4 linked regions of the Drosophila melanogaster genome follow. The gene in region 4 interacts genetically with the main gene of each other region. Each region holds a gene or a part of one and is shown on either strand. Other genes may lie near its edges.

Region 1 (5,666 bases), on a different chromosome or scaffold from region 4:
CATATCTAAAATAGATATAGCACTTAAAAAGTACTTAAAGGGTATTTCTTTAAGTTTGAAATATAACTATTATGTAAAGTTTATATAAGAGTTTTGAGAATCAAATCTATTTGTGCAGGAAACATTGGAAACAATCCATATTTATGTTATTTCAGTGTCTGTGCACATTGAGTTATTACCCGAAAACTAGTCAATTAATACAGATATTACTCGACATAATAAAAATGTTATTGTGTTCTTAACCGAAGTTTTCCAGAAATAATAAAAAGAAAATTAAACGGAAGCCACAATAATATAGTCCAAATTTCGAACTGAAGCAACAAAAGAGCGCTAGCACATGGACAGTATCCTTGGTCTGTATATCGTATTTTGCAGATACACACACATTGCCGCCATAGGAGCAGGACCAGCAACAACAACAACAACAACTACATTAGAAGGAGCGAGTGGGGGCTGCGTCAACGTCGCAAATATTGCGCTGCCCTCTGTGCCCGACTCCAATTTAGATGGCGATGGTGGCAAGGATTTGCCAGGATGCGAGACGCAGCCTCGGTATCGTTGACTGCGCAGGATACACACACACATAGGACACTCTTCGCTACTAATGGCGCAGACAAATTGTTTTGCGTATCTTACAGATACAGAGCAGCCGAGGCGCACAAAAGATACTACACAAAAAAACACACCACATACACGCACACACACACGCAAGCTTGGAAGTAACGAAATTTTTCCTGCAGCTCAACAAATTTTTCATTCGATTTTTCACTGCTCATCATTATTTCAAATTGAATGCAATGATTTCACATTTCAGTTTCGAATATGTAATCACTTTTACCATTACGCACTGATTTGTGGCTCAACCGAAATTTTCGTAAGCTCTGCTTCTCTTGAATTATGTATCTTTCGGGGAAAAATATGGTTTTTATTCGAAGAATATGAAGTTTTCAGCTACACTTTTCACGTTTCCTTTTCTTTTTCATTTGCTGCTGGTTGTGTTTGCTCTCTTTTGTAGTATTAACTTTTCTAGCACTGTTGTTGATGGTACTACATATATTGGTTTTCTTCAGATTTATCTTCTTTTTTTTTTGGGTATATCTTGTTGTTTTTTTTTGAGGCCGTCTATCCGCGATTCTGAGGGATACTTGCGCGCACGACGCTCGGCAAACGAAGACTGAAATGTGGGGAAATTCGTTAAAGCCCGGCCAGCATCCTAGGCATCGGCATCGGCATCGGCATCTCGCGTCGGTGGCTAAACGAATATCCTGCGCCTGAAATCGAGCCACAGGATACACGAGCGCACAGTTACAGATGCGTTTGGAAATTGAGGAAATTTCTTCTCCGACTCGCTGGATTTTCCACAGAGCTCACTCGTTCTCCACACATTTCAGCCAGCGAAAGCTGTTGCTGTTTCAGATTGCATGTGAAAGTGAGAAAAATGTGATGGAAACGGAAGGGGGAGGAAAGGGAGGCAGCGACAGTGGCGCACTCTGGCGGTCGGCATAAGCCGGGAAATTAATGCAAACTACTGGAAATTGAATTTAGCTCCATCAGCCGCTGCAGTGGCGAAACCCCCCTATTCCGATGGGGGGGGGGGGGGGGCGGGGTGCGATGGGCCTGCTTGTGCGTCAGTTTCAGTCGTAGCTGCGTTTCCTCTTTCAATTTGCAGTGCATTAAGGACCCCATTCTGCGCCTCCTGCGTCCTTTCGTCCGGCGATGTAATATCACCTAATCAGAGTCACGGATGCGACACAAATGCATTTATCTTGGTCCTTTTTCGCCCCTCGGAGATTGTGACGTGCTGGCTTATAAGCCGGACACTTGTAATTTAAGTAAGCCTGGTCTTAACGCAAGGTGCATTTGCCTCGCCACCAACAGGTGCCATTGGCCAGGTTTGCAAAGGCCCGACTTGCACTTCGCGGAAACCTAATTGAATTTTCTGCTTTTCAATGGTAATTTGTAAATGAAATCAAAAAAAATAAAATAATAAATGATACATGATGAAAGGTCAAATGGTTACTCGCTAAATATTGAAATGTGCACGAAGGGTTTTTGGGGTCGTTTAAAAACTTGTGTACACAATACTAGTGTACACAATCATAGATGTTTGAAATAAATCTGAATCAAATAATAAATGTTGCATAAACACTGATTAGTGTTTTCTAAACTGAAGTGTTATAAATATTTAAGTAGTAAGTACTAATTGCACAATGTTTTAGCATGCATTATAACATATAAATGTTCATAATTATCCCCAGCTAACTCTTTCCCACATTTCTAAGAAAATTCGATAATACAAAACCCTATTTTCTTTTGCAGAAATAATATTTTTATTTGGCATAAACAACATCAATTAATGACGACAACAAACGGAAATGGGCAACACAGACATAGAGCGACAAGTAAGCGAAAATTAATATAGAATCGCGCAGATAAGAGTACATGTGCAGATATATGTACGTACGTGCGATACTATATCTGTAGAACACGCTAATATATGCAAATATATTTATAAGTGTCGTCGGCAGCTGTAGGAAATCGCAGACAACAAAAAGCAATCGAAAGAAGAGAGAAGAAAAGCGGGCATGATCAGAAGAAAACTCAGCATCCACTTTGACGACTACGAGCGTGTTGAATTTTAAATTTAGTCCGAAAACGGCGGTAAAAAGTCTATATTGTGCCAAAGAATCAAGTAAATCAAATATAAACAACATCTAGCACAGTCGAGTAGACTTCCTTCTATCATTTATAAAAATATAATTGATATTTTTTGATGTTTTCCTCATTTTGGTAAAGCAAACGGGCCCGTAAAATGTTTAGGGATGCGTAAATTGGCACATAAAATATTCAGTATACGCAATTTGCATCTAGCAGATGCACTTCACTATAATATATACATATATATGTTTAAAAATAGTTTTTCGATATTTTAGGGGTAAAACTCACTCAATTTTTCGAAAGGGGAAAAGTGTGCCCGGCACGTGTCGCGGCTGAAGAAAGAGTTTATCCAACTATTTATATCACTTGGTCTTCAATTATATTCACTTAAAGCCGCGCACACGAGCGTGTATCTTGCGGATACCATTGATTTCGCTTTCAGTTTCTCGACTACGAGAACGAGAATCTATGGAATCGCGTAAATATCTGTGTAGTTCCTGTGGTGCTGCAACATCCGTTGGGCGACTGAGAGATGCGACTGTTCGATGAATACTGAATAACAGCAGGCGGCTGAGATCGGCCAGAAGCTAAAGACCGATGCGGAGGCGTCGACCGAAGAACTGGCTACCCGAACTGAGTCCATCTCATCTGGCGACTGCTGAACGAGATATATCTGCTGGTGCGTTCTTCGTGTTTATTTTTTTCTCACGGCTGCCGCATCCTTGGGTTCGTGTGTGTTTGTTTATTTGTTTTCGTCGCGACGTGTCAAGTGGTAATGCAATTGGAATTGACTTGTGCGTTTCACCAATCGCCGCGGGGATGTGGCGTCACGGCCTGGACATTGTGCAGCCTTTAGTCTGACCCCTGACCTCCGGCTGGCCTACCTGCTGTTGCTGCGACTGCTGCTGCTGCCGTTCGATGTGGCTAGTCCGATCAGCCGGAAGATTTATGTTATGTGCGCTGTGCCGCAAGGGGAGATATTTTTAGCCAGCACTGCGACTGTTTCTTTTCGCTTGGGGTAGCTGCGAAAGTAATTAATGATTCTGCGACTGAAGCTGCAATATCTGAGGCAAAACGGAAGTTCGCAAAAACGAAGCTCTGATGATCACAGTGGGACAAATCAGGCGATAATGGCACAAGTTAAAGCTGAAGGAGTTTATTTGTGTACTGGATAATGACTTTCGCTTTACATAGTTTTTAATTTCTTAGAAACATGTAAAATAATTCGTTTCTCAGAAAGAAAGTAGTTCTTGACGCGATCAAAAAATAAACTTATGAAAAATTAGTGCAAAATTGTTACCATCGTTTAATTCAATAAATAAAACACACAAGCCCAGGGAATATGTTTATTTTTAAGATATTGTATTGTATGAATTCCGTAATTCATTGTATTTTCTGTGCGGTCTGTGGTCTTTTTTTCAAGTGCCTCGAGGGTTGCCACCGCACACCGAAATACGAAGCCCTGGGCGGTCGACAGGAGGCGAACGGCGGTCCAAGGAGCGCATGTCAAGTGGTCCGATAGCCCAACTGTCAACTGTCATGGGGTAACTGTCATCCATTAGGCTTGGACATTGTTTATGTTTGGCGGCGCCTGCGCATCGGCGGGATAAACACGCGATGATGCAAACAAGTGGCTGTGGGCCACGTTGCGCTGGCCAGGATTACGGTGGTCTGGGTAGCTGGTGGCCACCACCGTCGAGGCGGATCGATGGCCGTGGGACATGCGCAGAGGCTGCGGACTCGAAAAAGGACTCCTCCTCAGAGGTAGACACGAATATTTTGGCCAGAACGCTTCTGTGCCTCGTGCAAAACGGTTCATTTCTCGTCCAGCAAAACGCTTCTGCTTTCTGTGTGGGTGTGTGTGAGTGTGCGTGTTGGCCGAATGCCTGAGTAGAGAAAAATCTAATTATTGTTAACGGCCCTCAGCTTCAGCACAGCACTTTGTTTTTTGCATTAAGAAATATTTACGGCCTGCGGCAAATCCAATTGCTCTTTTCTGGACATCAACTTTTGTGTGACTGCAAGGACGAGTGATTGTGCTCGGTGTTGCTTCTGTTGCCTTGGTTGTGTCACCAACATACACGCAAATAACACACAAGCACACATCATACACACACACACATACACACACAGCGCAATCCTTGGAGAAAAGTGAAAGTGAGACGCCCCAGCGACCCGGAAATCGGACAGCTTGGTATTTTTCGCATTTGGCGCACAACTTGGCTGGGAAAAAAAGTTAGTGGAAAACCCTCAGCTGCAAAAGTTTCAATCATTTTCCACACGTTAAACGAAATCCAATCAAATTTTACCCCCTCGCTCGACCTTCTCTTTTACTCTCTCTGATTTATGCGTGGCATATACAACATTTTCGTATTCCCTTCTTACATTTTTTGGCACACATTATACACAGCACAATTTTTTGGTATCCAAAAGCCCCGCGCCCTTCGTCTCTTTAACCTTCAGTTTCTGGCATGCTGTAAATTGTGAACTTTTCCTAATCCTTTATCGTAAACCTCTGTAAATATTTTTGAAAGTGTCTTGGCAAGCGTTTTTTTATTCCATTTTTCTTAATTTACTCGATTTTGCAATTGCAGTCGAAATGATTTAATATTAAGCTAGCAAACGGATTTAACTAATCCGTTGCTGATAACAAAAACTTTATGTGTAAAATTCAACTTACAAAAAAAAAAACAATATCTGTGGGAAGAGGTGCCAGAATCTGAATTCACCCTGCAACAGGTAAGTTGGCTATGTGGGTGAGTTACACATATGAAAAGAAAACTTTCCAAGTCATTTTATTTGATCGATATTTGTTAATGAGCGAACAGGTAAATTAATCTTTGCTTCGGGACAACTTTTTGCCCGAACAAAAGTTTTCCAATTTTCAATGCATGCTCTCTTCGCTGTTTCACGTAAACTTTCCCCAAAGTATGCAGCAAATTTCTGCATTGCCTAGAGTCCGCCCACCACCTACAAAAATTACAATTATTTTACTGACAGCTCTCAAC
Region 2 (7,525 bases), on a different chromosome or scaffold from region 4:
AAGTCTTATTGCCCATCCCAAATTTTACACGATTAGCACAATATGTTGGGCACCAATTGAAAACAGTAGATTTTTTGCAGATTTAAATTGTTACCAAGTTCGTTTTATTGTACAGGCGAATAAAAGCATTTCATTGAAAATATTTTAAAATCCTTTTAAAAGATAGACAACAACTGTGTTAACGCTCATTATACGTTTTATTTATATCGATTTCTCTTTTATGTAAGAACAAAATTTATTTACAGTGTTTAGATCGCGTTTGCTTGCTTCCGTTTTCGTGCTTTCGGTTCGGCGTTAAATTGTTTTTCAAAATCAATTCTATGTGTGTCCTACTTAACTCAAATCCATTACAGAAGTGTTGCCTACATATGCCTGGAATCGATTCCCACATATCAACTAATAGATAAAACAACTTTTTCGTACAGATTATCATAATCACTTCACGTTGCTTTGGGCGTACACAAAAAATGAAGATAGAGGAATATGAATAGTCATTGCAATCCTTACGTTCTGTTCACACGCATCTCAAAACGTGGGATGAATGTTTTTATTTGGATTGAAACAGACGACGTATAAATGTACATCAAACGCTCTCTAAAATTCATAATTCATTTATAAATTTATTACTTTAGCTATATTTATAGTTATTAATATTTTCTTGCTTATATTTCTGTTGTTGCTTCTTTACCTTTTTACTCAGCTGCTTACAATTAGGGGCTGCATTATGCATTATTTCTCTTATCTTGCTTTGCGTACGATTCTTGTGGGTGGATGTGGTGTGTGTGGTTGTGGCTCTGAATGGGGTGGTGGTGGAGCAGGTGTGTATGTGGTTGTTTGGGCTTACTGCTATACACTTGTTATGCGCAAAGAAATGACCATAAACAGTAATTAGAGAATATCAAGAAATATATTAGAGGGATAATAATTATGGTGGTGCCTTATCCAATAGCATTTTTAACTGTTGAATTTTGAATGTCAGGCTTACAAAATGGGTTGCGAAACGAAATTTTACGATTCGGGGCGCACTAATTGATATATTTATGTATTCGGGTTATTGGCTGGCGGTCATCTATAATCGTGGTCAGTATCCGCCATATCAATGCCGCTCGTATGCTCAGGCCATTCCGTCCGAGCTGCAGATTGTGTTTTTCAGTTAGTGTGCAAGCCCTGGCGATTTGAAGATGAGTGTGTTCCGGATCCTGCTTAAGACGCTCCTGCTACTTTTTGTGGGCCGCTTAGGCCAAGTAGTTGTACACTTTGCGATCTTCCGGCGATCGTTGCAGATACTCGCGCTCGATTAGGCCCTCAATGCGCTTTTTGATAAACACGGGCGAGGGCAAGAAACGCGACTTTAGCTGCGACGTCACATCTGATACTAGCAAGTTGTGCTAAGAAAATAAAAACAGGAATCATGGTTAAATCACAATCCAACCAGATAGCAAACGTATAATACTTACAGCCAGACGCTTGCGGGCCTTCATTATGCGCACAATAGCCGCTTCGATCTCGTGCTTACGATCCTCGTCGACCTTTCCGCGCGTTTCCTTACGCTCTGGCTCTGATTCTCCCTTGGCGGCTACCGTTTGTATCTTCACCCTAAAATAGTTTCGATATTATTACCAGGCGCCGTTCTTTCGCACTGAAAGTAATATCTAACCTGTGGAACTTGGAGTTGAAGGCGTCGTTTACGTAAAACTCATCCGTGGGCTCAATGTCCTTAGTTTTCGTTTTAGAATTGCGTACTAACAAACGCTGAGCGGGTTTGCCCATGGACAACGATTGTAGTGCTCGGACGAGCTCCCGTTCCGGTATATCGGTCTCCTGGTGTATGTCATCGTAGGTGAGCACGTCGCGGTTATTAAACAGCAGTAGCACACACATCTAATTTTGGATTATGAAATACATGTTAAATGTTTAGTTAAATATTTTTTTCAGATCAATGAAATAAAGCTGCTTCTGCTAAATAAAATTCGGAGGTGTACGAACTAAAAGATATTTTAGCTTACCTGGTACGTGGACACTTGCAATATGTGCTTGCGTGTGGTGGTGGGCACCCCACAGCCGCTTGAACTGGAGCTGGGTGCATCTTTATCCTTTTCACTTTCAACTGCCTTGCGGCCATAAAACACAGCGTTGATATAGGCGGTTCCTATTCGAAGGGGAAGGCATAAATACAGTAGTTGCTTAAAAAAGAAGATCATTTAAGTAGCTAACCCATTTGTGGCTGTAACGTCAATTGACGTCCTGAGTGCTTATTTAGATAGAAGTTCTTGAAAATGTCAAAGGCTTCACGCGGAGCGGCGGGTATATTGCAGTTCGGAGTTGCTGTCTGTTACGGAAATTGAAGATAAGTTAACCTATTCACATAATTATGGAACAATTTAAGCTTACCTGTGTGGGCCAAAAACCAGTGGTTAGTATGCGTACCGTTAGCTCCACACCGCCAAGGGATAAATTGTTATTATTTACAAAGTTCTTAAACTCATCCATGATCGTATTGGAGACTGACATATCTTTAAACATGCCCTCTAGCTTCGAGGTGAATTGACAGCCGCATTCAGTCTGCAATAATAGAGATTAAAGCGATAAATAATTATGCTAAGATACCAAGTAACTTGACCTACCTTTAGTTTTGATATCATATTCTTCTCGAAATCATCAGAGACTGATTTGTTCAGCAGCAATCTCTTGGCTAAATGCGTCTTGTAATAGCGCTCAAAGACATCTTTCTCCAATAGGAAACGGAAGAGAACCATTGTCTTATCCAAGATGGACTCAATTTCCTGTTCGCTCATCTGTGGAAAAGTAATACACATTATTAATACATTTCAGAAAGCATATTGTAAATTCAACTCACTCCCTTGCCACCCTTTTTCAGTTTGTCATCGATGAATAGCGATAGATACTCCGGGGATTTGTTATTTAGGTTCAAGAAATGTTCAAAATCGGATGAGATGACGTTTTTGAATATGCGATCGTTGGCGAACGAGTGCACCAGAAACTGGTCGAAGCGGTCCTTGAGATCCAGCAAGTTCTGCACGAATGTTATGGGATTCGTGTTGCCGTTTTCTTCTTCCTTAACCAGCATGCGTCCTTGCTCTCGCAGATATGCCGACATTGTGTCCGCTATCACCTTGAGACCCTCCTCCTTCAGGCGCGAGAAAAGCTTATATGTGCAGGCCAGATCCTCGGTCTTTGAGTTCTTGATCATGTACACCACGCCCGAGTTCTCCATTTCAACAATGGGTCGCATGTGCTTTTTGATCAGCTCTTCTTCGACCACGCGCACAATGCGGGGCTCCGTATCCTTATCGAGATACAGCGCTGCCCGGGAAGATTCCTCCGTGATGCGCGCTTCCACTTTCTTGATGTAAACGCCAGCGTTGTTCTCGGCAAGAAAGTTCTGCGACTCGAATTTGTAAAACGCCGCCGATTGCGCAAGGAAGGGCTTTTCAAAGTCCTCTTCGTAGACAGTGCGCGAGTTAATCCCCAGGGTGATCAGCATACTGCAAGCATTCTTGATAGCCAGATGGTTAATGGCTTCGCCATGACGTTCCTCCATCACCATGCCCAGCAACTTCTCTCGCAGGGCCTTTTGAATCTCAGAATAGCGAACCACCTGGTAATGGAAAAAGCGATAAATATATTTCCAACGGAATAAATGCAATAAAGATATTCCTACCTGATCCCTGAACAAAATTAATCCCAAATTGTACACATTGTCTACCTCGCGCTGCTGCACATAAACTCTATCCATGTACATGAGTATGTCGCGGATCATCACCATAGATGTCTGGTGGTCTGTCCAGGCCTGGTTTAACTTGGGTAGGAAATTGCTGTGCAGAGCCTCCAGCACATCCGCCCGCACCTTGTGCTCCAGGTGTTCTGAGACGACCTCCCTCAGACCGTAATACAGTCTATTGCCGTGCTTATGCAGCACCATGTTGTACGCATTCCGGTAGAGTTGTTCAAACGATAGTCCGGAGTTGTTCTTTTTCTGTATCTCCTGGATAGCATTCTTTAAGCTGGCCCAAATGGTCTCCACGTACTTCTCGTCCATGGAGGCCTGGAAGAGAAATATAAGATTATTAATTTGGATAGTCAAGAACTTATTTCTCAGGGATTAAAACTTATAAATGCATAAGAGTGTAAGAGGGATATTAAGACTTTCGCTTGTTAGTAAGTTAACTAAAAGTTGAAATCCCTGTTTGGTTTTTATCAGATGGTAGGCTAACATTGAATGCCCTTCGCTTGTACTCCGGTAGCCAGAGTGGGTACTTCCGTGCTATTTCCTTAAAGCGTTTTTCTGTACTTTCTGCGCTCGCTGAAGCTGAGGTTGATGGCCCAGAGGTGGTTGCACTAGTTTCAGTTTTAACGACAGCTGGAGCAGCAGGAGCTGGAACTGGCATGGAAAGTGGCGTCGGCGTGAGCGGGTGGTTAGTATTAATTCTGTTATCAGCCCGAACTCTGCCACCGCTGGCGGCAAGGTGATAACTCCGCCGCGAGGCAGAAGCTAATCCCTGAGCGGACAATCGATTTTGGGACTGCTGGTGTTGCTGCATTGAGGAGGCGTTGGGCACATTGATGTTCATGCTTCGCGCCTGCTGTCCAAGAACGTTTTGCCTTGCAATCCGGCAAGGCACGGCAGAGTCCACATTACCGACAGTTGCGCCATTGAAGTTGTTGGAGCCGGCCACCATGCGATTGTGGTAGCGGCCGTTGGCGTTGAGGTTGTTCAGTGGCTCCGGCTGCTGTTGGCGGGGATCGCGGCCTTGCATGAGATTGCTACGCTGGTCCAGCTCACACGTCCTGTCCCGGTAGTGGCTCCTCTCTTCCTCGCTGAGTGCCAGAGAGCGAGGGGCTGGATAATAGCCCGCTGCTGAAGCCGGTGCCTGGCGAGACCGACTTTGGTTTAACGACTTAATGATGATAGCTTCAATGTCACATCCGCCGCGCGGTTCTGCTACACCTGGTCCGCTGCTCCTCCTCCTCCTCTGTGCTCCGTACTCCGGCCAGAGTTCTACTCGCGATTCGGGTCTCGCCCTTCACCCTGCTCTCCACATACAGGTGTTCACAGTCTTTTTGTGTGTGTTGTTGGTCAACAATAATTTCTCGAAAACTACGATTGAATTCGTTGTAACTTAAAAACTAAAATGTGTGTTGAAAATTCCCCTGGCCCCGGTTGGTGTTTTGATGTTTTTATTTGTTTTTGATTTTTGGTGTTTGCTTTTCATGTCGCCTGACATTTTGTGGGGAGAAATGTTTGGTGTCGCCTAACCGGTGAATTTGCTAATTGTTTTATAAAAATTATCTAACTCTTAATACCCGCAAATGGCATTATCTTATCGAAACATTTTGCAAGTTCATGATGCGATCGACAGATTTTTCGCTGCAACTCTCATCTCAACTGCAAAGCGAGTAAGGGGCTTTTCAAATGAGTATATCTCGTTTTTTAAATTCGTTTGCAAATTGCACTCAACCTTTTCAAACGCTTAATCTTAAAAATTTGAAGATCATTGTTTTTTGAACCAAAGAAATGGCATAATCTGGGATTATACAACTTGCTGTGGACAGCAAGCTCTTTCTTCATAGTGATTTCTTGGATTTGAGCTTAAAATGAAAATGTTTTTACAGTTTGTGGTTTAAACTTGTATTAGTTCCGGGTTGTCAGATAATAGATAATCTCATATTAGTTCGCTCTTAGCAATATTACACGATTAAGAGTGTGTATCGTGGTTTTAACGATGCTCCAATGTGGGTTCTTACCGGAAAGGCCCGAATGCGCATTTTGCCCTCCTTCTTGGGAGGATTTCCCCGCAGATTCATGCTTTGCAAGCGTCGGCACTGCTCCTCCACTTTATTGGCGGTTCGGACTCCGGAGCAGGGAGCTGCAAGAAGAGCAGGTGCTTCTCCGACTTTTCCGATGACGGAACCTGCTTTCCTCGGCGGCAATCAATGGTTAACACAACAAGAACACAGTTAACCTGGGTTATCCTTGGTTTATCCTGAAAGATAAGGAGAGGTGAATGGATTAGTTCTATCACAGATCTCCCAGCATGTTTACGCTACAATCCGCGTAGGGTGGTGCCGAGATGAGCATTCTGGTTTCGTATATTTGTGCAAACATTCCACGCAAATGTTAGGGTGTCAAGCGCGATGTACACAAGCAGACGTGTGTACGTACATATGTATATATATGCCCGTGTGTGTATGTCTATTTGGGGAAGCGGCTGGTTTTATTCGCGAATAGTTTGCAATTGCGGATATGTCCCGGGATACCAATCCGCCGTACTGCGTCGTCACTTCCTTTGTCGCCGCCTATATCGCAGATATCGGATATATGTGCATGTACATTGATTCGCTGGCCCATCCGATCTCTCCGCGTAAAAGAAACGGTGAAAAAAACTCACACGGCGACAATATAATTGTTATGTACATATACGTGCAATTAATACAAGAACCGTTGTTTTCGCACGCACTTCCAACCGATGATCGATAAATATACGTCCCAGGGAAGTGCATTCAATTGCTAGACGTTATCGAGCCAATGCTTCTATTTTCACTTTGTTGCTTTCTTTATTTTCTTAACGATTCTTCTATTTCACTTTGTCATGGAAAAGACGGGTTACATATGTGTGTGCGTGTGGGTGCCTGCCCGTCTCACGGTCTACGCTTGTGTGCGTATGTTTTTGTACCTGGCCTTTTGAAACGGCTTTCCACGTCGCTTTCGCACAATTTTTACTATTTCAAAATGTATTTTACCGGTGCGAATGCATTAGTAAAGTCACTACTATTATTTAGCTTGATTTGTTGCTGTTTTCAACGTTTACTTGCATTTCATATTGATTGTAGGTTTTAATAGCGATGGGCGACAAAAGTAGCATTGTTGTTGTTTTTCGAGGCGAATGGTGATAGCTATCGATAGTACTTTTCCATCGATAGTGTCAAAACCAGTTGCTCTCAACTTTATGATAAATAAAACCAGTAAAGTTAACAGGAAAGGAACTGACTTTGCATCGCACGCAACTTAAGAAAATATGTAGTTACTTTTTATTTTATTTGTTAAAGGAATATAAATATTAAATATAAAAATTAAAAGGAAAGTAACTGACTTCTTAGTACGCTTGCATCACAAGCAGAACCAGAAGAATTATTGTCACTAATTATTGATTTCTTTATTTATATAAATTAATTTTTATTTGGTAAAGATTTTATGTTCATAAATTTTGAATTTTTAAAGTACATAACATTTCCAAATATATATTTAAATTGTCTTATGTATATAATATTTTATCATAATTTATATAACATTTTTTTCCCATGTCTAGCTAACAGTGTTGCAAAATTCGTGTTGCTCTCTGTGAATGGTAGTATTTCAAAACGAAAGCCCTAAAAGTATGCTATATTTTTAAGTACGCACTGGACTTCAAATTTCAGTTAGTCCATTTCAAAAGTTTGTAATACAGATAAAAATAGTTAACTATAACTATGTAGGTGACAAAAACACAAATGATTTTGAAATAGT
Region 3 (5,611 bases), on a different chromosome or scaffold from region 4:
TGGCCATTTGGGCATTGGTACATGGAAAGTTAAAAGCGCCCTAGGCGTTCTAATCCAACTCGTCTCAAGAAAAACGGGTGAATGCATGGAACGCTGGATCTGGTTCTGGAAGATCCGGCTAAGTCAACAAGAAATATGTAACCTCGCCATTATAGCTTTACTTTCGAAGCAGAAAATGCAATCGAGAATATCGAATGCACGCTCCAGGTTCCTATGGCTCCTAGCTTTCGGTGCAGCACAACAAATATTTGGGTTGGTTCGTTTTTCCGCCACGATTTTAAAACGCTAAGGGTGGCTTTTTCGGAGTCCCTCTCATTTGAGCCGGGAAAAAGACCAGACCCTCCCTTTCCCTCCCCAGCCACTTTCCAGCTTTGTTGTAACCTCGTGTTGTGCCTGCTTTTTAATCCCGCTTTGTTGTAACGCAGGCCATTTGCTGTTTTTGTTTTGTTTCTGGCGTGGCTAAAACGGATTATGTGACCCAACCCTTTCGATTTCGAGTCTCATTGTATTACATCCTTTTCCCAAAAATGACTAAAAAAGCGTATTGCCTATTTCTGGGGTGGACAGAATGAAACGGGGTCAGCACGTGGCCGCAAACTTGAAATACCATTATGGATCCAATAGGACTGTGAAGAGTTATTAGTGAAACATTTCGAACAAACTATTCCTTTAATTGAAATTTGCCAATTCCCCACTTAAGCATCGCATTTGCATATTTGTATGCTAACCAAACTCTCTGCGACGTCGATCTGTCTGAATCTGAATCCGCATATCTTTCGAGGGCAGCAATAGCGCCACCCCACCCCATTTCCGTTGCCACTAGCAGCGCACCACCCTTTGAAAGGACATCAAAAACCACCCCCTGCCCAAAGTTGCGTTACAATTCCCGAAGTGCAGTGCAGCGTACATAAAACATACAATGAAATCCGATAAAATTTTCTATGTCCTTTATATCCTCATAACATGCCCAACTATAAACCGAGCCAAATTCTTCTCGTGAAAAAGTTGCACACAACGCGATTTCACTGTACCTTACATTGTTCTGTAAACTGGAACAGAGCGTCCGACTGGAAGAGGCGAAGGAAAAAATCAGCACAGGGAACAGGAAGTTCACAAGGATTGGGGGTGTCCGAGGGTGGCTACATATATATGGCGATATATGGCATACAGTATGTGCATACATATACATACATATACACATATATGTATGTATGTACCATACTATGTGGCGTGTCTAGTGGCGCGAATAACGAATACAGGAGCAATGAAGCACACGAACGAAGCGAAACGAAACGAAGGGAAATATTGAAAAAGCCAGAATTGCATTACTTCAAAACTATACCGGCTCTTGGATATGGGTCCTGGGTCTCGGTTCCTTGCTTCTGGCTTTCGCTTCGTAGGGGGTGTACGAGCAATACTGCCAGGAGAAACCACCCTAGCCTTTGGCGTTGGTGGTTGATAGTGCAAAAATAATAATAACGGAAACGGAACCATAAACCCAAAACAGCCCTTACAACGCGACTGATTTGTAAGGATAATGGTCGCATGCATCATAAAACGGTTGACGACCTCGTCGGAAAGAGCCAACATTTTGCAATGATTTCCAATTGCTCCTGCTATCTAGGCCCAATGGGCCGCTAAGTACATATGAAGCATACATAGCTAAATACATATGAAGCATACATACATCGGGTTAACTATAAAACCAATGTGTTCTAGATGAGTTTGTTAATTTTACAAAGTAAGTTAGGGCTGCTCCAGTGGTTTTAAGTTGCTTAACTGGACAAGAGAACTTGGCTCTCTCCCCCATCTATCTCTTGTCTTCGGGAAAGGTAACCTCCATTTTGATCGGTTGAATTTGTATCAAAAAGCATGAAAAACTTTGAATACAGCATAAACCACTGAGAGAGCAGCCGAAAGCCAGGGGTGTATCAAAAGGGGTTCTTAGAAATATTCCACTTTGCAACGATTATAGACTCGTTTCTTATCAGACAAAACTTTCTCCACTTCTACGTGGTATTTACAGAAACAAAACTTAAGGTAAAATGTTAGGTGGCTATATATTAAAGCTATTAAAATATATTAAAGGTTTCCGGAATAACCCCCTATCTCGGCGCGCAGATACGCCCATGTCGCCACTCTTTCGCTCTCTACCTTCCACTCTCGCTCCGAACACCATTGCAACCCCGAGAGAGCTGCTCGAGAGGCAACTATGAGATATGAGAATGAGAGGTTGCTCTATGTGAAAATGGAAACCGAAACCGTCAATGCCTCAATTTCGCATTTCATTATTTCATTTCCACGCCAACCATCGTGCGCCGCGGTCTGAACGCTCCTGCCACAGAAAAAGAAAATAAAAGCAAGGAAAATTCTAATCGAATACCAAATATCGTGCTTGTGTGCTCTTTCCGCAATTGATTTTTTTTAAGTAGTGCATGACAATAACCGTTGAGTTGACTCCAACCGAAGTAACCATAACTGGAAGCTGACAACAGCCATTGGCCGGAATCTCATCTCACACCGAGCGAAATGTAAGAGTATCCCCAGGATATCCACAATTTGTGCAACTGAATGAAAGGCAATGATAACAATATCAATCAACAACTTTGAAACAGTACTTTTTTTTTGCTAATGATCGCGTCGCGCTGCATAATTGTGCAATTTACTCACTTATAATCCGCGTGTCTGCATATATCCATATGTACCTATATCTATTTTTTTGCTAGTGGGTGTGTGATGTGTGTAAGTTGTATACATTCAAACGAATATTAATAGGCAAAACAACAATATGCAATTCGATGGAGGAAAAAGCGAACCTCCCAAAGAGAGTGGCGGAGAGATGGGCGGCGGTTAGTCAGAGTGAGAGGGGGCGGCCAGTGCGGAGATAGTAGATGTGTTCAGATCTACGCCTCTGTGAGCTGTGTATCTGTAAATACTTGCTGCTCAAATTTAAATCTGTGTGTGTATGTGTGTGTGGGCTTGCGTGTGCGGGAGAGAAGAGCGCTGAGTGTTAGAGCGAGAGCCAGTTCCGAAGAGGGCGCAGCTAGCATATCGATTTTATGATTTCATGTGCAAGGAGCATTGTACGCAACAACAAACGGAGGAACACGACCAACTAACCGTTAGAAGTAGCCATTTTTTGAGCGCAGCGGAGAGGGTGGGCGAGTGTGTGTGGGTGGCGGAGTACTTGCAGTCAACAAAACGCCGGTTGCCATAAAAGCAAATGCACGCAGGCATGAATCAGACCCATGTCGTAGTAGCAATATTAAACATAGAGGATTCGCGATTCACAGCAAAGGAGTTTTTTCTCAAAAAACGACAACAATTAGTTTTTTTTTTCCCAGTGGTCGTCTGTGTTTATGCTTGTGTGGAAGAGAGCTCGAAATAGGTAGATATATACACGCGTATTTATTTATTATGTGTACATATGTGCTTGTAAAAACAATATCAGCCATACAAAGTTTGAGTCCCCTCCGCCCACCTCCTAACAACAACATCGATATCTAAATCGGTGCAGGTAAAGAGCGGTTGCTACAGGCCCAAATAACCTCTCTTCAGTAGAATTTTACCAACATCTCAAAGTATTCTCGCTGCGCCACATGTATGCGTATCTGCACGCAGATATATTTTTTGTATCGCCTGTGAAATATGAATTCAATGCTTTGGATGGGGTAAAATCGATAATATCGATTGGCGATAACAATCGCACGCACACACACAGGCCCGCAAACACGAACAACTAAAACTACAACAACAACCACCAAACCCATCGAATTTACCGCTTATAGTTTTGTTTTATTTTTGTTTTTGTCCACATCAGACGGCGACGCCAGCGTTTATTTATTAAAAACGATTACATTACAACAAACACCAAAGTCCTGGACAACCGAAGAGAGTGTGGGAGAAAATCGAAGCAGAGAGCAAGGAGGAGCGCCGTGAGAGCGCGCGCGCAAGGATTTGAGATTGCAAAGAGAACTTAGCAATTAGTTCGCTTTGTTTGTCCAGCCAAACAACAACAACAACCAACCAGCTCCCCAAAACCAACTACACACATACTCGCTCCCTAAACTAAAACAAGTGAGTATTGAAAGACGACGGGCCGAGCTGACGAGATCGCAGGACGAAAGAGAGAAAACTTTCGAAGGGTGCGGTGTCGTGTCAAGGCAACACAATCAAACCACTAATGCGGAATATTAAAAAAAAAAATTAATTTAAATCATAAGAGGTTAGCTATATTTGATATATATATGTGTGTATCCATGTACATATGTCTATGTTAGACAAGTAGCTCCTTCTTGCCGTATTGTAGTTCGGGTTATCGTTACCCGCCTCTAATTGGCTTGCCATGACGAAAGTGGGTGGTACAGGACGACGACGTGCGTGCGCGTGACCTTTTGACTCTTCCATAAGCGCCTCAATAAAAGGTGCGAGTCGGTACATACATATGTATGAGAATAGAGGATATTAAAAACTAAGAAAAGCATCCACCAAAGTAAAAACAGTAGCAACTAAAAACTTTTCAGTCTCAGCTAACCAGTCCAAACCAGCTATGTAGTTTTTAGCACGACTTTGGGAGTGTCGAATGCGTTAACTAAAGCTCAAATATATATCGAGACCCGCTGTAGTCCCTATATGCAAATCAAATTGCTACCATTTCCGCAGCGATCGCTTTTCGCGACAGCCCCCTCTCTCTGTCGCACTTAGTTCAGTGAACCAACACATTCGCTGGTTTCGTTCCGAGCAGCATCCTCTGTCTCTCTTGCTCAGCCTCTTCGCCGCCCCCTCTGCCTAAGCCTCTGTTTCTGCTGTCCGCACCCCTTACCAAGGTGTCATGTAAATGGCGGAGCCGGCTTAGGGGGTGGCAATGCCGTGCTTTTAACCCTTATCGGTGGCAAATGGCGCTCGTACATTTGGAGAAAATGCCGTTCTACGTTTCGTTTTGCTTCGTTTCGCCAAGCGAAGTATTACAACTTGTTTGACTAAGGGTGGGTCTACCGTCTATTGCTCATTTATGGTGTTTTGATGCTTTCTCAAGGGGTGCGGGCTGGTTTCTCGCATGTCCTGACCCTCTGGGTCATCCCTCTGTTCACCGCATTACATAACTGGGCGGGGTGCACAGCGCGACACACTCTTATGGAGAGAGCGCTGTAATTTGCGGAAAGGAGACGAGGGGGAGAAGGGACGCAAGAGCAGCTACAGCGCGCAGCAGTGCCAGAAAGTCCTGCGCTCGCCCCAGAAGCATCCTGTTCCTGTGACGCAGCGGATCTGGTCTCGCGTTCGCTCCACTACCTCCACTTCCTACACCTACAGTACACATATCACATGAACTTAAAACTAGTGAACGGATTAATTAAAAAGGAATCGCAAAACAAAAGCTCGCTAATCGCGCAGACACAGCAGAAGCTTAAATTCAGAAAAGTTTAGTTCTTCAGTGCCGAAGGTGTGTTTGCAGAGCTTTGATTTCTAGTGCGCGGGTGTGGGAAGAGAGGACTAAATAGAGACAGAGAGAGCGGCCGGATGAGAAAGTGGGGCGCTGGGCGGCGCCTGTTAGCAAAGCTTCGTTGACCAACCGTTATTTCCTGAACAAAGGAATAACATACATTCATCACTT
Region 4 (5,397 bases):
CGAAGAACTTCTCCACGATGGCTCTAACCTGGTCGAAGAGTATAGGATACAGTTGGGTGGACATCTCCTCGCCCACCAGTTCCTTCACATTTTTCTGAATATTAAGTCCAATTTTTTCGTTGCTGCAAACTAACAGGCGCAATAGTTGGCCCACGAATCTAAATTAAAGTTATAGGTTATATATGGGACATGTTAAAATAAATAAAACCTTACTGTGTTACAGGACAATAGCTGACATCTTGTGGCGGTGCTGGGGGAAGAGTGGATAGTGAAACCGTGCTAGGATGCAGAGAGCCATGTCCAGAACTTGTGGAGCTTGAGTAAAGAGAGTTTTGAGCAAGTGATCCCAAAGAAGCATTGTTCTGTGATTGCTGCAGCAGCATTTGACGACTGCTGCTACGTTTATGAAGGCAGACGCCACCCAAGGCTAATAGAAACCATGTCATATTGGCCCATTCATTAATTTGTTCCTCCAAATCGTGCTCTGAGCTTTGGTGACTCGCTCGCCGCTTGCCCATGCCACGATGGAAAACCTCCGCTTGGCCATCTTCTCCTTTACATTTGGGGTACGTTTGCAAAACCTTGCTGGATACTTCCCAGTTGCGGAAGGTTTCCTCCCAGGCGGGCTGAACACCATGAACACAGTGCTCGATCTTGCGCAATAGGGTCATTATGCGCTTTTGAAGTGTAAGACGGCTCAGCACATTGCCGTGCGTGTTGTCAAAAAAGCAAATGCGAGAGTCCGTTGCAGCTAAAACGAAATTATTATTAATAAAAATATGTATGATGAATTTACCAAACTCACATGTGGACAACTGAGCCAGCTCCTGGTAAATGTGGTAATTCGGCATAATAAATCCGACTGTCAATTCATCAGAACTGCAGCAAATCTCAGCCTCCTCGCATAGTAGTCCAAAACACGATAGCGATGTCAGCACCGCATCTAAATCAACACTCCACAGGTACATGAAGAAAACAACTTCCATCTTAATGTGAGCCTGCTTGCAAATGGCAATCTGACTTCCCACATGTGCATAATCCTTGTGTCGCTGAAGAAAAGTATTCCGACAGATGAGGATCTCGCGTAGCCACTTTAAGACATCAGTGTAATTGGCAATTTGGTGTTGAATGAGCTTTTGCGAGATTGAAAACAGTACTTGGGAGCTAACGTCCCAGAACGTATTGATCGGAGCCTCTGGATTCCAAACCTCTATTTTCTCCGGGGCGTGCAGAGCAAGCAGCGCCTCCATAGCCTCTTGTGCCACATCGGGCATGGTAGTTTGATGCACCAAACTAACTAAGCCGTTGATGAGCTCCAATGTGGAGCTCTGCACTTCATGTGCCACTTTTCCTTGGGTCTATATTACAAAACAATTGTTAAATATGAGACTATTATCGATCAAATTATCAAATAACTCACATTCAACAAAAGCGTGGGATCTGCATGAATTAGCCGTACGAGTAGCAGTAATAGCATTTTGTGGGCGGGACCCTCTTCAGCGCGGGTTAAACCTTTCTGGGTATCTTTAGATTTGAGCGTCAGGGAGGTTATGTAGCGCAGTGGCGTATGGGCTATATAACCCTGGGTGGCCTTGTTGAGCGTATCCGTAAACAAAGCTCGTAGCTCAGCAGAACGGTAGTGAACCACATCCGTTTGCGGCCACCAAGACAATCTCGGTTGGTTTACTATTCGAAAGGGGTTCTTGTTCTGCAAACGGAAGTCAACGTATATGTGAGCCAACCTATAATGGAAAGTATACATGTAAAAGTCAAGAGTTTTATATAGCTACCCAAGTAAATTACCTTAGCAGAGAGCACACAATTACAAAATGGTAAGCCTGCGGCGAGGACAAATTCAGGCAAACCTTTAGAGCCTCGATGTTGTGAGGATTAATCCGGAAACAAGACACCCAGCAGTCAATCATCAGCTCGATATCAGCGAAGTTGTACCCCTGACCGCGCGAAAAGGGCTTTGCTGGATTAAAGAGCAGTGCCTTGAGATCGTTGATAAAGAATTGCACCAACTTGAAGACCACATTATTGGAGTCGGTGTTGTTGATGTAGGTGGATGCTTTGCACAGCTTTACACAGGCAATTGCCGCAGATTCGGTCACCTGTTTGGATGGTGAGTGCTGGCCCAAGCCTCTCTTGATACTCTCGATGAACTGCTTGGCCGAGAAGTCCTTGTCCCGGGACGTGGATTGCGCTGACTTCGAGGCAACCTTTTCCTTGTCCTTTTCCTTCTCTTTCTCCGACTGCTGAAGTTCGTTAACAACAGCCTCAAGGCAAGAGGGATTCAATATCAGCAAGAGCATTTGAAGCGGCCAAACAAGAGTCTTGCTTTTCTTGTTTTCGGTTTTAAAGTACTCTACAAAGTCCATCAGGGGTTCCCAGCAGCTAAACGAAACAGGATCAATTAATGTGACTTTAAAAACGCTTGTAATTCCTCTTACGTTGATATATCTCGATTGGTTCCTCGTTGCAAGTCCTGGAACTCTTGTGGATGGTACTCGATCCAGTTCCAAATAGCCTTCTCCAGCGAGTAAAGCAAGATCAAAGGTGGAGCACGCTTCGATCGAAACTTTGTGATGGTTTCTGGAAACGTAAAACGTTGTTTAACCTTTCCGAAATATTAAAAAAGTTAGTTTACCTTGTAGCAGCTTGGTTAGCTTTATCATATCCATATCGATGTGTTGAATTAATTCTATGTCGTTGTAGTCCGGGTTTTCCTCGGAACAGGATGTCAGCTCTTGAATCCTGGCCGATATGCGATTGAACACCGCCGAGAAGTGATTCTGGGACAAGGCAAAGAGCACCTTGGATGCCAGGGCCTTGAGCTGGGCGGCATTCGGATTGCTGTCGCTCTGGACGTCGACAAACTGGGAGATCTCGCGCAGCAGAAGCTTCACATTCATGGCCTCTTCAAAACGTGCTGTGTCCTTGGTCTGGTTGGTCAGACAGCGTTCCAGAGTGGTCAGTATGATGACCAGCGACTCAAAGTAGCAACGCTCTGGCTCATGGCGATTTTGAAGGGCCTGCAATGAAATTTTTGTTTAAGTAATTTAATCGTATCCTAGCCCCATAAAATAAGGCAACATAGTTTAAGGGTTAACAATAGAGAATGGAGTACTTACCGCCTCATTGACCCTCTGCAGCATCTTGGTGAGACCGGATATGACAAGGGAGAAGCGGTAGCGCGATATGTGGATCAGACAGGCCACCAATTGGTCCTGGCTCATCCTGGCCTGCGTGCCATAGGCACCGATTCTGTTTGGCAGCTGAAAAAGTAAACCATTGATTGCTCAATTCCACTTCATTCATGCGGGAACCGGTGTTTTTGTTATTGTTGCTATCTCGCTCTCCCACGCATTTGATTGAGAGCTCACACTGACAGAGCGGGTGAGGCACGCACACTCGCAAGGTCGCTGTGAGCATGTGTGGGGGAGGAAGAGGCAGAGCAGCAGGTACATTTTTTCGCTTGCGAAAACGCAACTGCGGAAAAGCGATTGGAAAACACTTGCCTGATCCTCGAAACGTGCCAAAAGGGCGCTAGCCCACTCGCCTGGCTTCTGGGTCATCTTGTTGTGGTGTTTTAACAGTTGTTTATGCGTTTTTTACTGCATTTCAGCAACTAAATAGGGCAGCTTTTCGTTGAGCTTGGGGAGTGGCAATTGGTTGAGTGGCATCTTTGTTCGTTATCCTTGGTGTTTTTTTCAGTTCCTGAGACGTTCACTTCCTTCTCTTCCAACAATTTGGATGGTTTGGCTTTACAAAACGGGCACTGTTTCTTTTTTTATGGGAATTTTCTAAGGGCTTACAGGCTGTTATTTGGATGTTTATATTGTGTGTGTACCGCCTTCCATTTCTTTCACAATACCGAAACGCTTTTATAAGTGATAACAATTACATCCTATCGATATATCGCTTATTTTCAAATAGTGATGGCATCAGACCAACTAGTACTGAATTCATTAGGGTGACCATAAGCCACAAGTAAATGCGCGCGCTCACAGGAGCGTTTAAAAATTCCAAAAATATTTGGCCTTCATTTCGTTCTATCTCATTTGATGCTATTATTTTATATGGTCTAAGTGTTCCAATTAGAAATATAAATGATTTTTAAAACAGATTCAGTTCAGTAAGTATTATTAGTTTATTTAATGTTGTTGTTAATGCATTACAAATTATCAATATTAAATATTTCAGATGGTTTTGTAGCTTGGGTTTTGAGTTAATTCCGTTTGAGTGTGCCTGTTTGGCTCTGTGCAAATTATACATATTTTCCAGCAATACTTAATGTTTATAATGTTTCAGCATTTCGAGCAGTAATAGGTTCAAATCGAGTTCTATCTGTTGTAATTTAGTGTTGCGTCCAACGTTAGTTAATATTTATTCAATTGTTCTATTATTTTACGGTATAAAGTTAGTTTAGCTAGCTAAAAAACACATGTACAGTCGCATATAGGTATATATATGTATATATTTGGTTTTATTGAAAATGTTTGCGTTATTTTTCAAATAACCCTTCTTAAGCTGACAAAAATTTGAGTTTAGGCATAGGCTTATGTTACAATCGTCTTATTGGCCGTTTTTGGGAAGTGAGTTGGGTACTTTATCCAATCAATTAAAGTAAATAAAAAAGTGCTTTAAAAAGGTGAAAAATTTATATATGTGGAAAATTGTGAGCTTGCGGAAAGAGTTTCTTAAACTGTTTTGTGTATATATTTTTGATTTTACTTTGCATTCGATATATGTACGGTTTTCTCATAGATTTAAATGCAGTTATTGATATTTTTAGAGGGTTCTATTAACTTTGCAGTTTTAAGGAGTGTATACATGCACGTACATAGTTGCTATATTACTTTGTTCTAGCTGCTTAACTGGTATCTTGATTTTCTCTTGTATAAGTGGTATATGTTGGCTGCAATGGACGTTTGATGATTATTCGCTTCGAAATTATAGCATAAAGTGCTTGAAACTTAGTCTGCAGATAGCGCAAGATACAAACAGATGATCGTTGTAAATAGAATATGCTCGTATAACTAGTAAGATTTGTATTTAGCTTGCGTTGTTTCGTTATCGCATTCGATTCGATTGGTTTCGTTCTTACAGCTAAGTTTTCCTTTGAAATTGGATTTCAATGCAGTGCAATCCTGCGTTCGCGTCCTTGAGCAGGCCTGCTAACAATAAATTAGTGCTGGATAGCAGGACGGGCCTTCCCCGCCCCGCACCGCCAGCCGACTAGAGTAATAGACTAAATTTAACAATTCCTTTGGGGGCATCAGATCAGAGACTACAGCTAGGAAATGGGCATTTGTTTTAGATCAGGGATTCAAACGGGTAAACGGGTACGCCTTGAAAAAATCAAAAAAGCTGCTTGGATTTTGAATGTCCTAA

Evidence for each region.
Region 1: of Nf1 (region 4) and Alk, changing one suppresses a phenotype caused by changing the other (phenotypic suppression), as found in Drosophila melanogaster (3 studies listed by BioGRID).
Region 2: of Nf1 (region 4) and Cul3, changing one enhances a phenotype caused by changing the other (phenotypic enhancement), as found in Drosophila melanogaster (one study listed by BioGRID).
Region 3: of Nf1 (region 4) and elav, changing one suppresses a phenotype caused by changing the other (phenotypic suppression), as found in Drosophila melanogaster (one study listed by BioGRID).

Annotation. Positions count from the first base shown.
Region 1 is NT_033778.4:16,636,800-16,642,465, forward strand, and holds the start of Alk (anaplastic lymphoma kinase), read right to left. Parts: upstream 3,213-5,666; 5' UTR 2,947-3,212; intron 1,177-2,946; exon of another isoform or gene 849-1,176; intron 1-848.
Region 2 is NT_033779.5:15,265,139-15,272,663, forward strand, and holds Cul3 (cullin 3), read right to left. Parts: upstream 5,187-7,525; 5' UTR 4,779-5,186; coding exon 4,236-4,778; intron 4,067-4,235; coding exon 3,683-4,066; intron 3,620-3,682; coding exon 2,858-3,619; intron 2,796-2,857; coding exon 2,625-2,795; intron 2,563-2,624; coding exon 2,392-2,562; intron 2,330-2,391; coding exon 2,215-2,329; intron 2,150-2,214; coding exon 2,007-2,149; intron 1,882-2,006; coding exon 1,658-1,881; intron 1,597-1,657; coding exon 1,458-1,596; intron 1,389-1,457; coding exon 1,236-1,388; 3' UTR 891-1,235; downstream 1-890.
Region 3 is NC_004354.4:519,906-525,516, reverse strand, and holds the start of elav (embryonic lethal abnormal vision), read left to right. Parts: upstream 1-2,290; 5' UTR 2,291-2,531; intron 2,532-3,820; 5' UTR 3,821-4,076; coding exon 4,077-4,077; intron 4,078-5,231; exon of another isoform or gene 5,232-5,440; intron 5,441-5,611. UniProt on the Drosophila melanogaster protein: Required for the proper development and maintenance of neurons presumably by affecting RNA metabolism.
Region 4 is NT_033777.3:25,981,473-25,986,869, reverse strand, and holds the start of Nf1 (neurofibromin 1), read right to left. Parts: upstream 3,858-5,397; 5' UTR 3,579-3,857; coding exon 3,522-3,578; intron 3,279-3,521; coding exon 3,135-3,278; intron 3,036-3,134; coding exon 2,651-3,035; intron 2,596-2,650; coding exon 2,454-2,595; intron 2,398-2,453; coding exon 1,804-2,397; intron 1,743-1,803; coding exon 1,421-1,742; intron 1,359-1,420; coding exon 806-1,358; intron 752-805; coding exon 214-751; intron 159-213; coding exon 1-158.